Linked DNA regions of Arabidopsis thaliana. Each later gene encodes a partner of the first gene's protein in a complex. Each region holds a gene or a part of one and is shown in the gene's direction. Other genes may lie near its edges.

What was found.
Region 2: GRF6 (region 1) and KAPP share a complex: the UniProt entries of both Arabidopsis thaliana proteins name them as parts of the SERK1 signaling complex.

Annotation. Positions count from the first base shown.
Region 1 is NC_003076.8:3,283,058-3,287,991, reverse strand, and holds GRF6 (G-box regulating factor 6), read left to right. Parts: upstream 1-1,644; 5' UTR 1,645-1,730; coding exon 1,731-2,216; intron 2,217-2,481; coding exon 2,482-2,604; intron 2,605-3,209; coding exon 3,210-3,326; coding exon of another isoform or gene 3,327-3,377; exon of another isoform or gene 3,378-3,420; coding exon 3,421-3,516; 3' UTR 3,517-3,519; coding exon of another isoform or gene 3,520-3,540; 3' UTR 3,541-4,139; downstream 4,140-4,934. Other genes in the region: AT5G10460 (Haloacid dehalogenase-like hydrolase (HAD) superfamily protein), read right to left, coding at 99-170. UniProt on the Arabidopsis thaliana protein: Is associated with a DNA binding complex that binds to the G box, a well-characterized cis-acting DNA regulatory element found in plant genes. Specific negative regulator of slow-vacuolar (SV) ion channel.
Region 2 is NC_003076.8:6,486,285-6,494,022, forward strand, and holds KAPP (kinase associated protein phosphatase), read left to right. Parts: upstream 1-2,034; 5' UTR 2,035-2,165; coding exon 2,166-2,309; intron 2,310-3,453; coding exon 3,454-3,643; intron 3,644-3,818; coding exon 3,819-4,019; intron 4,020-4,124; coding exon 4,125-4,300; intron 4,301-4,385; coding exon 4,386-4,544; intron 4,545-4,633; coding exon 4,634-4,777; intron 4,778-4,864; coding exon 4,865-4,926; intron 4,927-5,385; coding exon 5,386-5,524; intron 5,525-5,634; coding exon 5,635-5,729; intron 5,730-5,850; coding exon 5,851-5,880; intron 5,881-6,212; coding exon 6,213-6,328; intron 6,329-6,415; coding exon 6,416-6,548; intron 6,549-6,633; coding exon 6,634-6,688; intron 6,689-6,766; coding exon 6,767-6,898; 3' UTR 6,899-7,155; downstream 7,156-7,738. Other genes in the region: AT5G19270 (reverse transcriptase-like protein), read right to left, coding at 1-375, 671-725. UniProt on the Arabidopsis thaliana protein: Dephosphorylates the Ser/Thr receptor-like kinase RLK5. May function as a signaling component in a pathway involving RLK5. Binds and dephosphorylates CLAVATA1 (CLV1). Functions as a negative regulator of the CLV1 signaling in plant development.

The DNA of each region.
Region 1 (4,934 bases):
ATCATCAGACTAACATAGATATGTTAATGGCTTCGCTCGTCATAAGAGGAGGAGAAAGTCAGAGAGCACATAAGAAGACAGTAAATTGAAGGTCAAACCTTAAAATTTCTCGTCTCAACTATGTCTTTGAGGCCATTCATTGGCTGTGAGAGCTGCGAGGAACAGAACATTTTTCTTCCTGTGACGAGAAGAAGAAGAACTGAAGAGAACTGGACCAATCGAAAAACAAACCACAAAGTGTTTTTCACTTTACCACAAGCACAACGCATACGTACGCGCAACATACGCGAGTAAGCTCCACGCTTTACTTATGTAAAACAACATTATATAGTAGCTAATCCTTCAGCAAACAACATAGTCGCTTTGGCCGAGTGGTTAAGGCGTGTGCCTGCTAAGTACATGGGGTTTCCCCGCGAGAGTTCGAATCTCTCAGGCGACGATATTTTTTTAATATTTTGTCTTTCAAAACAATTTCCCGCCCTTTAAACAAACAACCGCTCAGTTGACCAAAGCGCCCCTTCTCTCTTTCATTCTTATTTTGGTGGCAACAGTGATGAATTTGTATATCAGATTTATAGAAACTTGAAACGATCGCTGAGTTTATATATATATATATATACATTTTATTAACAATAGAACCAAAATGAACATATGAGTCATCACTAATCTAACTACACCATGCCCAACTCTTATAGCTGAATGTTCAAAGTATGGTTTCTATCAACATATTTTTTCTCTCTTCTTCTCCAAGTAGTACAGTATGCAGTTTTCCATATAGCGTTTACAAAAGCATAGACCGAAGCTCCATTATCAATCTTGGTGCCTCCAAATTTTCGTCCTTTAACGAATTCCCGATTAAGCTTTGCATTCGAGTCACAAATATCTCATCTAAAACCTGTAAATCATCATATAACAATAACAAGATAAGAATCAAAAAGGCATATCCTTATTGTTTTTTGCAGTGATAAAGAGTTGTGAAAGAGAAAAAGAAAAAGAAAAATGAGTTGTGAAAGTCCAAAGTAAAGGCCGAAAGAAAACATAACGGCCGAGAGACGGAGCTTGTTCCCATCCGTCGATGCAAAAAAAAATTCCTTCTGGACTCACGGTGACGGTTGACCACATGAACGTATTAAAAAGTCTCCTTTCTCGGACTTTGTCTTTTTATTTTTCACTTTTTTCCTTTGCAGACGACACTACTACTAACTATTGATTTCCATTTTGGTTAATATACTTTAATATTAAAAGAATATATACTTTAGTCTTTTAAATTATGTACTTTATTTCTCTTTAAGAAAAAGTTTTCGCATTTTATGCAACAACAAAAAAAAAGGTGTGTATTACAAACTTCATAAGTATTGGAATTCATAAGGCCCATATTAGGCCTAATAAAGGCCCAATCAGAGTTCTGACTTTAAAACTAGTGACTAGAAGCTGACTCACTAAAAAACTATTATCGTCCATTCACTCGCTCTTATCACAAACCCCAAACCCTCCCAACCATCCCACTCGCCAACACAAACCACGCTCCTCACTCTACGAAAGACTATAACATCAAACGCCGTCGTATAATCGAAAGTGAACACACTTGCGCGTGGGTTTAATATACATCTATTTTTAATAGCCCACCTGACTCTTTGCCCTTTATTCTTCTTCTCTCTTTCTCTTTCCCATTTTCTTCAAATTTTCCCCATTAAACAAAAAAAAATCAAATCTCTCTCTTTCTCTCTCTAATGGCGGCGACATTAGGCAGAGACCAGTATGTGTACATGGCGAAGCTCGCCGAGCAGGCGGAGCGTTACGAAGAGATGGTTCAATTCATGGAACAGCTCGTTACAGGCGCTACTCCAGCGGAAGAGCTCACCGTTGAAGAGAGGAATCTCCTCTCTGTTGCTTACAAAAACGTGATCGGATCTCTACGCGCCGCCTGGAGGATCGTGTCTTCGATTGAGCAGAAGGAAGAGAGTAGGAAGAACGACGAGCACGTGTCGCTTGTCAAGGATTACAGATCTAAAGTTGAGTCTGAGCTTTCTTCTGTTTGCTCTGGAATCCTTAAGCTCCTTGACTCGCATCTGATCCCATCTGCTGGAGCGAGTGAGTCTAAGGTCTTTTACTTGAAGATGAAAGGTGATTATCATCGGTACATGGCTGAGTTTAAGTCTGGTGATGAGAGGAAAACTGCTGCTGAAGATACCATGCTCGCTTACAAAGCAGCTCAGGTTATTTTCATTCTCCAAATCTGATTTGGCTGATAAGTTTTGTTTGTGAACTCTGTTTACGAGATTTCTTCTATTGGTAATAGCTTCCAAATCTAGTAATTATGTCCTGATCTAGAATTGGTCTCTAATTGAGCTACTATGCTTATCAAATCATGAGAAAGTAGATTGCTGTTTTGTTTCAGTTTTTGTCTTAAAGAGTAAAAATTGCTTTCTTCAAACTGATGGAGATGTTTTTGTCTATTTTTCGATGTGATGTTTTTTGAAGGATATCGCAGCTGCGGATATGGCACCTACTCATCCGATAAGGCTTGGTCTGGCCCTGAATTTCTCAGTGTTCTACTATGAGATTCTCAATTCTTCAGACAAAGCTTGTAACATGGCCAAACAGGTTACTCTTCTTCTTTCTTTTTCGCTGCTTGCCTCAATTAGGAACATCTCTTTCTCTCTCTTTCCGTTGCCTCTCTGGTAACAAACATATAAGTCGTTGACCTGAGTTTGTCTCTTGAGAGTTTGCTTCTGTTTCTTGCTTTATGTTATTACAAAAGAGAATTGACCACTTGTTGACTAGTCTTGTTGTACTTTTTTCTTTTCTTAAGATGTATTGTTGGGTAAAGAACCAATCTTTGGCCCTCTGTGTATCATCATTTCTTATCACTTTGAATGAGCTTGCTTGATGTTTTGACTAAGAGGATTGACCACTTGTTGACTATTTCTGTTGTACCTTTATCTCCTGAGTATGTTTTGTTAGATAAAGAACCACTCTTTGATTCATGGTGCTTCATCTAGTATCACTTTGAGTCAGCTTTTTTAACAAAATTCCTCTTTTTTAATAATCACAGACTAATATGATGATGAAGATCCATGTTGTCCAATACTAGGACTGATGTCTCATTCTGTTTCAACTAGAACTTACGTATAAGACATTTAGTAAAACGGCAGAAATTTTTCACTGTGGGGGCATTCTCAATTTTGATACTGGATTTTTAATTGTAGGCTTTTGAGGAGGCCATAGCTGAGCTTGACACTCTGGGAGAGGAATCCTACAAAGACAGCACTCTCATAATGCAGTTGCTGAGGGACAATTTAACCCTTTGGACCTCCGATATGCAGGTATTCACATCTCTTTATGCCGTACCTCGATATTCTACACCATTCGAATAACTATAAAGATCATATCTTAGTGTGATTAGTGTTTCCATCATAGACCAATCAGATGCATCATATAAGAGACATCAAAGAACATGTTAAAACTGAAATAACCGCAAAACCGTGTGTGCTGAGTTATTACTACTCTATGTAACAGGAGCAGATGGACGAGGCCTGAGGATCTAGATGAAGGGGGGGAGGGTTGTTACGCGATGTTTCTGCCACCAAATCGATCTCAAAATCCCCATAACCTTTGCTCAAAAACTGTGAAAAAAGATTGAAGTGTTTATGATGATTATGATTGTGCACAGCTTGATGATTTATCTACTCTACTAAACCTCTGTGCTCTTAATATTTATTGTCTCGACTCTGCTCAAGCCTTAAAAACATCTTTCTCCTTAAGGCTCCTCTGGTTAAATTATGATCCTTCTACTGTATCGTCAAAATCAAGTTGGAACCCAAAATTCGTGGATTTTTTGTCGGTGTGAAACTGTGAATAATAAAAATCGTCAATGTTGTTACGTATATAAAATCCAGTCAAACCAAGAAAATCTGTGCAACATAGGCTGTGGAAGAATGCGACCATAGAGAAGCACACACGTATCAAAGAAGTCGAATCTCTCATTACGCAAAGAGATGCAAAATATCAAAAGTGTACTTGGACCACTTTGTCTGCATTGCATGCATGAAAACTATTTATAAAAATAACAGTCTTTGGTCGAATTCTGAGACATTTAGTTGTTTTCTCATACATTACTCCAACTTTTCTTTTTCTTCCACCAATCTTTTCAGAGAAAGATACTGTAAAAACCAAAGTTGCTCGCTCACACGTGATTCCAGTCCACGTTCATTATTTATATAAAGCTTGTCATGTTAAAAGCTTTATATGATTTTAAAGATGTTTATTCTTGAAGTTTAATTGTATTTGGATTTTCTTAAGTAGTGGTATTATTTTTACGGGTTTCTTTTCTTTGAACTTTTTGGTTTTCAGTTCTTTTGTTAAGAGTTTTCCTTTTCAGTCTAAATGCAAATAGATGAATGGATCACAATATGTGTGCTCTCCTTTTAACTATTATGTAGCAAATGATTTTCGATAGCCAAAAAGACTTGAGATGAGTCTCCTCATGTTAGTTATCTAATGATTGCATATGACAATCACATGATCTTATGCTTATGCAGGGGGTTCTGAAAATTCGGTGTTCTCAAGCTAATTATATTGTAGTCCACGAATATGTTTGGTGCAAACGATATTCACACTTCTCACCTCACCAGCAACAATATTAGCTTCTAACTAACAACACTAATATAATGACTAGATATTCATTGACTTGGCCTCTACTTCAAATTCCTAATTCGTTTCCATTTTGTCACTGAAAAATATTTTAATGCAATTTACTATCTAATGTAATATTTTCTGTTCATAATTTGATGTGCGTTTCCATGATAATTTTGTATTAAAATATAAAATAATATGAATATATTCTAACTAATATACAAATATATTCTAACTAATATACCAAAAATTACATAAAATGTCTTTCGTATTCATATTTATATATTCATAAAATAACT
Region 2 (7,738 bases), 3.2 Mb from region 1:
TTGCAGCTTGACAATCCGAAGAGATTATCACGTTTTGCAAACGAAGATCTCGTAAGCTTTTAACCACCCACAAGATACAACGCAACTCGGCCATGATCCTATTTGAAGACCTTGTAAAAGCATCTCTTGCATGGTATAGAGCCAAACCATTAACATCACGAGCAATCCAAGCTACCCCACTCATCATGTCAGCATTTCCCCAATGAGCATTCACATTACACTTAACAATTCCAAAGTCTGGAGGAGTCCAGTTAAGATCCAAGCTCGTCCCCCGAACAAAGCATGCGCCATATGTATCTATCTGTCGCGCATTAAGCCACCGTTCCTCTTCTTCAACCCCTATGGATCCTTGTACACTCAAATCCACATGTCTACCTGCAAGCAATTTATCATTTTTATTAAACAAATTAAAGATAAAATTTCTGAATTATTAGTTAGATACAAGTTACAAGAAAAATTGCAAAATTCTAGCTATCGTCTTTTTAAAAACAAACGTTAGACATTAGGCTAATTGTATAGTTTATGATAAAAGGACAACGACATCAAATTAAAAAGATTACAAAACTCATTAGCCATACAAAAGTTAAAAACTCACAAGAGTGTTAAACACAAAATTGACAAGAACCATATAGATTTAAATTGATATATCAAAGAGAGAAGGTTCAGTTACGATTTATGTGTCCTCTGTGATGAGCAATCATGACTTGAGAAGTAGACAATAGCATCGTCTCTTGAACCTTGTTTAAAGGTCTGACCGGCCGTTTTGTTAACCAACTGAAAGATTCTAACAACAAATTTTCTTATATATATGCTTTACCAATTGTTGTCTTTGAACAACCATAAAAAACAAAAAACAAATTGAGAGTTCTTAAATACACAAAATTGAGAAGGTAGTGAATGAAGACTATTATTATGTTACCAAATTATATATTCGTATATGTTTACCACATTTAAAGCATAGTCAATAAAAAATAAAAACGTTACCAAATGGATAATATATTGAAAGTTGATTAGTAAGTATCATTTATGTAATTTCCATCTCGTGTATGCATAATTGTATGCATATTGGTATTATAAATTCATATGGGACTTTAAAAATGGAGTAGTTGCATTTGTTGATAAAACAAAAGAAAATGGAAGTTCTCTCTGATTCAAGAATAAAGGTAACTGTAACATGTTTTATACTCACATAGACATTTTTGATTACTATGTTTTACAAGATTTTAGGAAAATGACTTGTGTGCGTGTGTGTGCTTGTCTGTTGCATAAAAGAGAAGAGCACAAGACTGATATTTACGATTGGTATATTAGAATGCATTATACATTCATGTTTAAATTTTACTGCATTAGGGATTACATTTTGTTATTTTTTGTGCTAACTAATTTATTTTGATTAGTAATCATTTATCACAACGGTAAGAAGTACTATTCCGTTATTTCTGTTACCCTACAAAAAGCAGTAAGCTTTTGATTAATAATCATATATCGCAATGGTAAGAAGTATACTGTTATTTCTCTTATCCAATTCCTGCTTTTGATTAGCAATCATATATTGCAATGATAAAAAATAATCGGATATTTTTTGTTACCAAATACATAAGGCGGTAAGATTAACAATGCCAAAACGTTACCATCGTTATTTTTGTACCTCTATATTATACCAATTTTTCTAGATGTTACTCGAAATACATCTAAACATAAATAAGTCATCTCGATCGAAAAACTTTTCATTAACAATGAGATTTCTAGAATCATATCTACATATCACTTAAGTCTTCAAAAACATAACCTTTTTCTTTACAAGATTCTTGATAATTCTAATCTATTTAATTTGTTTTTTTTCAAAAAATTAAAACCATAAATCAAGTGTAAAAAACAAAAAAAATCTCATAATCTATAGCGTAATCCACATATTAACCAATAGTAACTCGTGGAGGTGATAATTATATAGCTTAATCCAACCCTAGCCAATCATGTAAAGCGTTAGGGATAATGTACTCTTAGAGTCTATCGACCAGTGAAAATAAAAAGACAGTGAAAATACGATAAGAGAAAGAAAAAAAAAAAACAGAGAAGGTAAGAAAAATTCAAAGCGAGGTTCTCGGGAACCAATCTGGAAGGAGGAGGGGTGCAGAGAGAGAGAGAGAGAGAGAGAAGCGAAGACGATGGCGATGATAGGGATGAACATTATTGGGCTATTCATGGTTCTTATGTTGCTTCTCATCTCCCTCATCATCCTTTTCGCCTGCAAGCCATGGCGATATTTTTCTCGTTTCCGATCCTCCTCTCGTTTTTCTTCTACCTTCAAGGTTTCTTCTTCCTCTTCCTCTTATCTCATTCTCTATTCAATTTTCAGAGTCTTCGTTCCACGGCTTCGTTTTTTGATTTTTGATTCGATTTTATGTCGGATGGTTTGTTTTCGCGAAATGATCAATTGATAAAGGATTTGATCATCAGTGACAAGTGTTACGTCGCTGGATCATGATGCTTTTCTCGTGGATTCCGATAGTAGTTGGGGTTATTTGGCGATTTCGTTGATTGATTTTGTCGACGTGGGGGCGGTGAGATATATATTGTGTGTTTGGTTTCTGAAATAATCTGATTGACTTTTTGGAGATGATAATGTGTTGTTGAGTTTTCTCACTGTTGAAAAATTAGGATTCTTTTGTTGTTGTTAGATTCTTTTGAAGCTCAAGAGTTGATAGATTCGTTTGGTTTATAATGAGTGTGGCTGGATTTTCTCTGCCTGCTCGATTTGCACAAAATGGTTTTGTTTGAATAAAGCGTAATGGCCGTTTCAGCTTCTTTTGTGTGCTATGTTTTCTTCTTCTTCTCTAGCCATGGCTAATTGACATTTTCAACGGCTCAAACTGTTGATGTGCACTTAGACAGACATTGGAAGTAGGGAACTCTTGTGAATTTGCTTGCGAAAACTGTCGATTTGTTTCTGAATTTGGACATTGGTGCTTATATATTAGGCAATGTGAATGTTGCCAAGAACTCAGTTTCAGTGTGGGAAATTATCGTGGGAGAACTTCTTCCTCATTAGTTACCTTTTTGTAGGAATTCTGTGAGTTTTGTTTTTTTTGTATTTTTGTCTTTCTACCGGAGAAATGGTAACAAATGAATGAAAAAGGTGAAATCAGCTGTTCATTCATTTCCTAGCTCTGTTATACTCTACTCCTTACTAATCTAATAGGCGGTTTTACTCTCACTGGAAATAGGATACAGCTCATCCATCTAGTCTTTTCGCTTGTAGATTTCATTTGTTTGCAATTTCTCCATAACTTGGATAACATACTAAAATTGTATAAGAACTAAATCCACCTTATTATTACTACATTCTTCATATAGGGAAATATTGAGTTTCTCATCTTTCAGCTATTGAGTATCCAGTTTACGCAACTTTTTTTTTGCTCCTAGCCCTAATTCTTTCAGCGCCATTGTTTGCAGGTGGGGGATTTGCAGAGACCACTTATTTCTGATGATGGAAATTTGATCCAAGGACAAACCAGTGAGGTAACAAGGGAATATGATTTAGAGGGAGCTTGCTACCAAAATGATGGACTTTTGCATTCATCTCTGACTGAGGGACGGTTTTACAAACAAAGGCTTCCTTCGTCATCTCCCCATTTCTCCCAAGGTACTCATTGCCTCTTTCCTCCCCTGCTATGTCCAGCTCTGGTAGACAAGTTGGATTGACTCTAGATCATTAGCGTGATGGAAATGATACAGTTGTATCAGAAACATCCTCTTTGCATTATGAACTCTATGCATCACTCATTCTTGACCTTACCAATCTGCCCTAACTTATGTAGGTGAAAGCTTTGTTCTAGAAGTAATTTCTGAACCTTCTGACAATGCTTTGGTGGGCCAAACGCTTAAACTTCCAGCTGAAAAAGGTTCCTTGGCAGAAGTGCAAACATATGACTGGCAGAATAACAGAAATGAAAACTTGCAATATAATCTGGAAAAGGATCGACTTATTAATCTTTCTCCGAGGCTCGTGGAAGATCAAAGTAATTTCTTATTCTTTTGCTTGCCTAGGGTGTGTAATACAACTTCAATCCATTTTTTGAATTACTTGTGCAAGACATATATCATATTTTGTGTTAGAAGTGCAGGAAGTTGGCTGTTCCTGGAAGTCATCGCGGGTCCTGCCATTGGGCTTCAACATGCTGTGAACTCCACAAGTTCCTCCAAGCTGCCAGTGAAACTTGGAAGGGTTTCTCCTTCTGATTTGGCATTGAAGGACTCAGAAGTCTCTGGGAAACATGCACAGATAACATGGAACTCTACTGTAAGGAGCTATGTAGATTTATTTATACGACTTCTGCATGCCACTTCTTACACTGTGCGTCACACCTGCCTGGTTTTGATTTCAGAAATTTAAATGGGAGCTGGTAGATATGGGTAGCCTAAATGGAACTCTCGTAAACTCTCATTCAATAAGTCATCCTGATTTAGGCAGCCGGAAGTGGGGTAACCCTGTCGAGCTTGCAAGTGATGATATAATAACTTTGGGAACAACAACAAAGGTCTATGTAAGTCAATCTGAGTGGTGAAGGTGCTTGCTGGTAATTTTTTTTGTTTCCCTTGTTAATTTCATGCAATTTCTTTTCATCTTTGGAAGGTCCGTATCTCCTCTCAGAATGAGTTTCAGATACCCTTCAAAATTGGTGTGGCCTCAGATCCCATGGCTATGCGTCGAGGAGGCAGGAAACTTCCGATGGAAGATGTTTGTCATTACAAGTGGCCGCTTCCTGGGGCTAATAAGGTTACCTTGATTAGTGATTTGAGTTGTATGTATGATGATGGGCTTCGCTGCTTTTGATAACATAATTCCAAATGTATATGGTTTCAGTTTGGACTGTTTTGTGTTTGTGATGGACATGGGGGATCAGGGGCTGCTCAATCCGCAATCAAGTGAGTCTTTCTTAAAAAAATCCAAATCACCTCTATTAACTATTTCTTTTATAAAATCCTCCTCGATAGGTCTTATTTTGGGTTTTCTTTGTATGCTTAACCTACGAAATGTCCTAACCTGAAAAAGGCTGCGGTTTTGGCTGTGTTTAAACTTCTAACAGCATCCGCCTTTCTGAGTTTTTCTTTATTGTTTTTGCTTCATTTATTAATCAACTTCTTATGTAGTTTAAAATTTTTAGCTGCATGTGATTAGCCATGCAAATGTGTTACAGTTAGGGCAGGCGTGGTTACAGCCGGGAACAAATATATGAAACTTTGTTCTGTTCATTTTTGTAAATGGGCTTAGTCATTATATGTTAGGAGCCTTCACTAACTACTGGAGCATCTTTGATTTACTTGTGTCTCCAACAACGGCAATTATATACTTGAATATATAAGCTAATTAAACTTCTTCTCCAGAATTATTCCGGAGGTTCTAGCGAATATTTTATCAGACTCGCTGAGGAAGGAGAAAGTGTTATCAAAAAGGGATGCTTCGGACGTCCTTAGGGACATGTTTGCTAAAACAGAAGCTCGCCTCGAAGAACACCAATATGAGGTATTTCAGTTTGTCCTTTTCTTTTCCTTTGATGGCATGTTTGCCTTCTTGACGACTTGGCTGGAACTTTTTCATTGCTTCCTACTTAATGAATTAGTTGATCGATGCAGGGTTGTACAGCTACTGTTCTCTTGGTTTGGAAAGACAATGAAGAAAACTTCTTCGCACAATGTGCCAATCTTGGGGATTCAGCATGTGTTATCCAGTACGTAAAAAATATTATATTGCTATTCTTGAGATTCGTAGTTGCTGAGCTTGCATTAACCAGACTTGTAGCAGCATTTCTTGGTGTAGAAAGAGGGAGGGGACTTGATTACTCAGATTAGAAACAAAGATCTTGCGTGTTTAAAGCGTGAGTGAGTGTGGTCTTCTTAATGAAAACCTCTTGGTTTGGAAACAGTAGATGATTACTAATATAGGCTTTATAGTAGAGTAAATAGACATCAATAGATGAGATTGTTTCACGTCGGAGTAGAATTTTTTTGGATAAGAAAAAGAATATTTGAATGTCGTTGCTTTGCTTTGTGGAAATAGAAAGAGAGTTTATCCCTACATCTTCCTTGATACGGATCTTAATTAATAATAAAAAATTCTGATAGTTGTTTTGCTCTTAGGAATTAATGGTCTCGGCATTATAATAGTAACTTCGACTTTCTTAACTGATTACGATTTGGTTTGCATTTGGCAGTCTTGGTGGCAGATATATACAAATGACTGAAGATCATCGAGTGGTTAGCTTGAGCGAGAGAAAACGATTCCAAGAAGCAGGACTAGCCTTGAGAGATGGAGAGACTCGGCTTTTTGGTATTAGCTCAATGAATTAAACACGCTCAGGTGATTGCAACTTCTTTGTAACAAAATGACCAAATCTGATGTGATAATTTTCTTCAGGTATAAACCTTGCGAGGATGCTTGGAGACAAGTTTCCAAAGCAACAAGACAGCCGTTTCAGTGCAGAGCCATATATAAGTGAGCCTTTGCGTATCGATCAATCTAGTAAAGACGTATTTGCTGTATTGGCTAGGTAAAAAAACATAAACATAAACATAATAAGCTTTTTCCCGTTTTCTGATTCTTGCTCGCTAATTTTTGAAATCCGAATACTGCAGTGACGGGTTATGGGACGTGGTAAGTCCGAAGAAAGCTGTGCAGCTTGTACTTCAGGTAAAATCAATTTCTACTCGTTGAGACATTTGCTATGTCTGAAAACGTCGATCTCATGTAATGTTTATGTTATGGCAGATGAGAGATAAAGAGAGAGGGAGAGAGAGTAGTGCGGAGAAGATAGCAAACGGTCTGCTGAATGAAGCTAGAGCGATGCGTACAAAGGACAACACCTCCATTATTTACTTAGATTTCGATACTTCCCTGTAATGTTAGGAAACATCTTTTAAGATATTTGGGAAGTGTCTTTCTTTTGTGTACCATCTTTTTATGTATTAGTATTTTTGTTAGGGTATAAGAGAGACAAAAAAACCTCAGATGCAGAGATTTAGGATGGATCGTCTTGGTGAGCGACATTGGTTTCATTATCTTTACTTATATAATTAATAATATTATCAGTTAAAGTTTCTGTTTCGTATTTTATTCTTTGGTGAGAATGAATTTCATCAGACAATACAACTTATCAGTTTAGTATGGACTATGGAGTCCGTAATTCTGAGTATTCATTGGTACTTTTGGATTTCGATTTTGGTTTTTGATTTTAGTATCAATACGGTTATTCTAGAGTTTCGGTTCAGTTTTGTTCCAGCTATTTCAGTTTTGTTCTTTTTACGATGTGTACGCAGGCACCAAAATAATACTATTTTGACTGTTGTTCGGTTAGAAGTAGAAAGAAAATCACAGATTTTGTAATAAAAATCTGCCTATTTTCGGAATGAACACGTATACAATTTTGACTGATATATATGGAATGAACCAAAATAGTCAACAGTCAAGAATTTCAAGAGATTTTGGGATTCTTTCCTCAAGTAATCTTACTACCTAATCTGAGTTTTGACTCAATAAATTTTAGTTTAACTTCCGTTTTAAAAATTGGAGTTGTTGTTCAACCTTTTGCATCGTACTAAAACAAATTAAGAAAAACAGAACCCCAAAAAGATTTGAAATTGAAAACAAAGCGGGCCCAAAAATCAGGAGTAGTTCGAGCGTCCACACTAAAAGCATGTGTCCCAACAACACCAGATCCTATCCTCTCAATTTATGAAACGT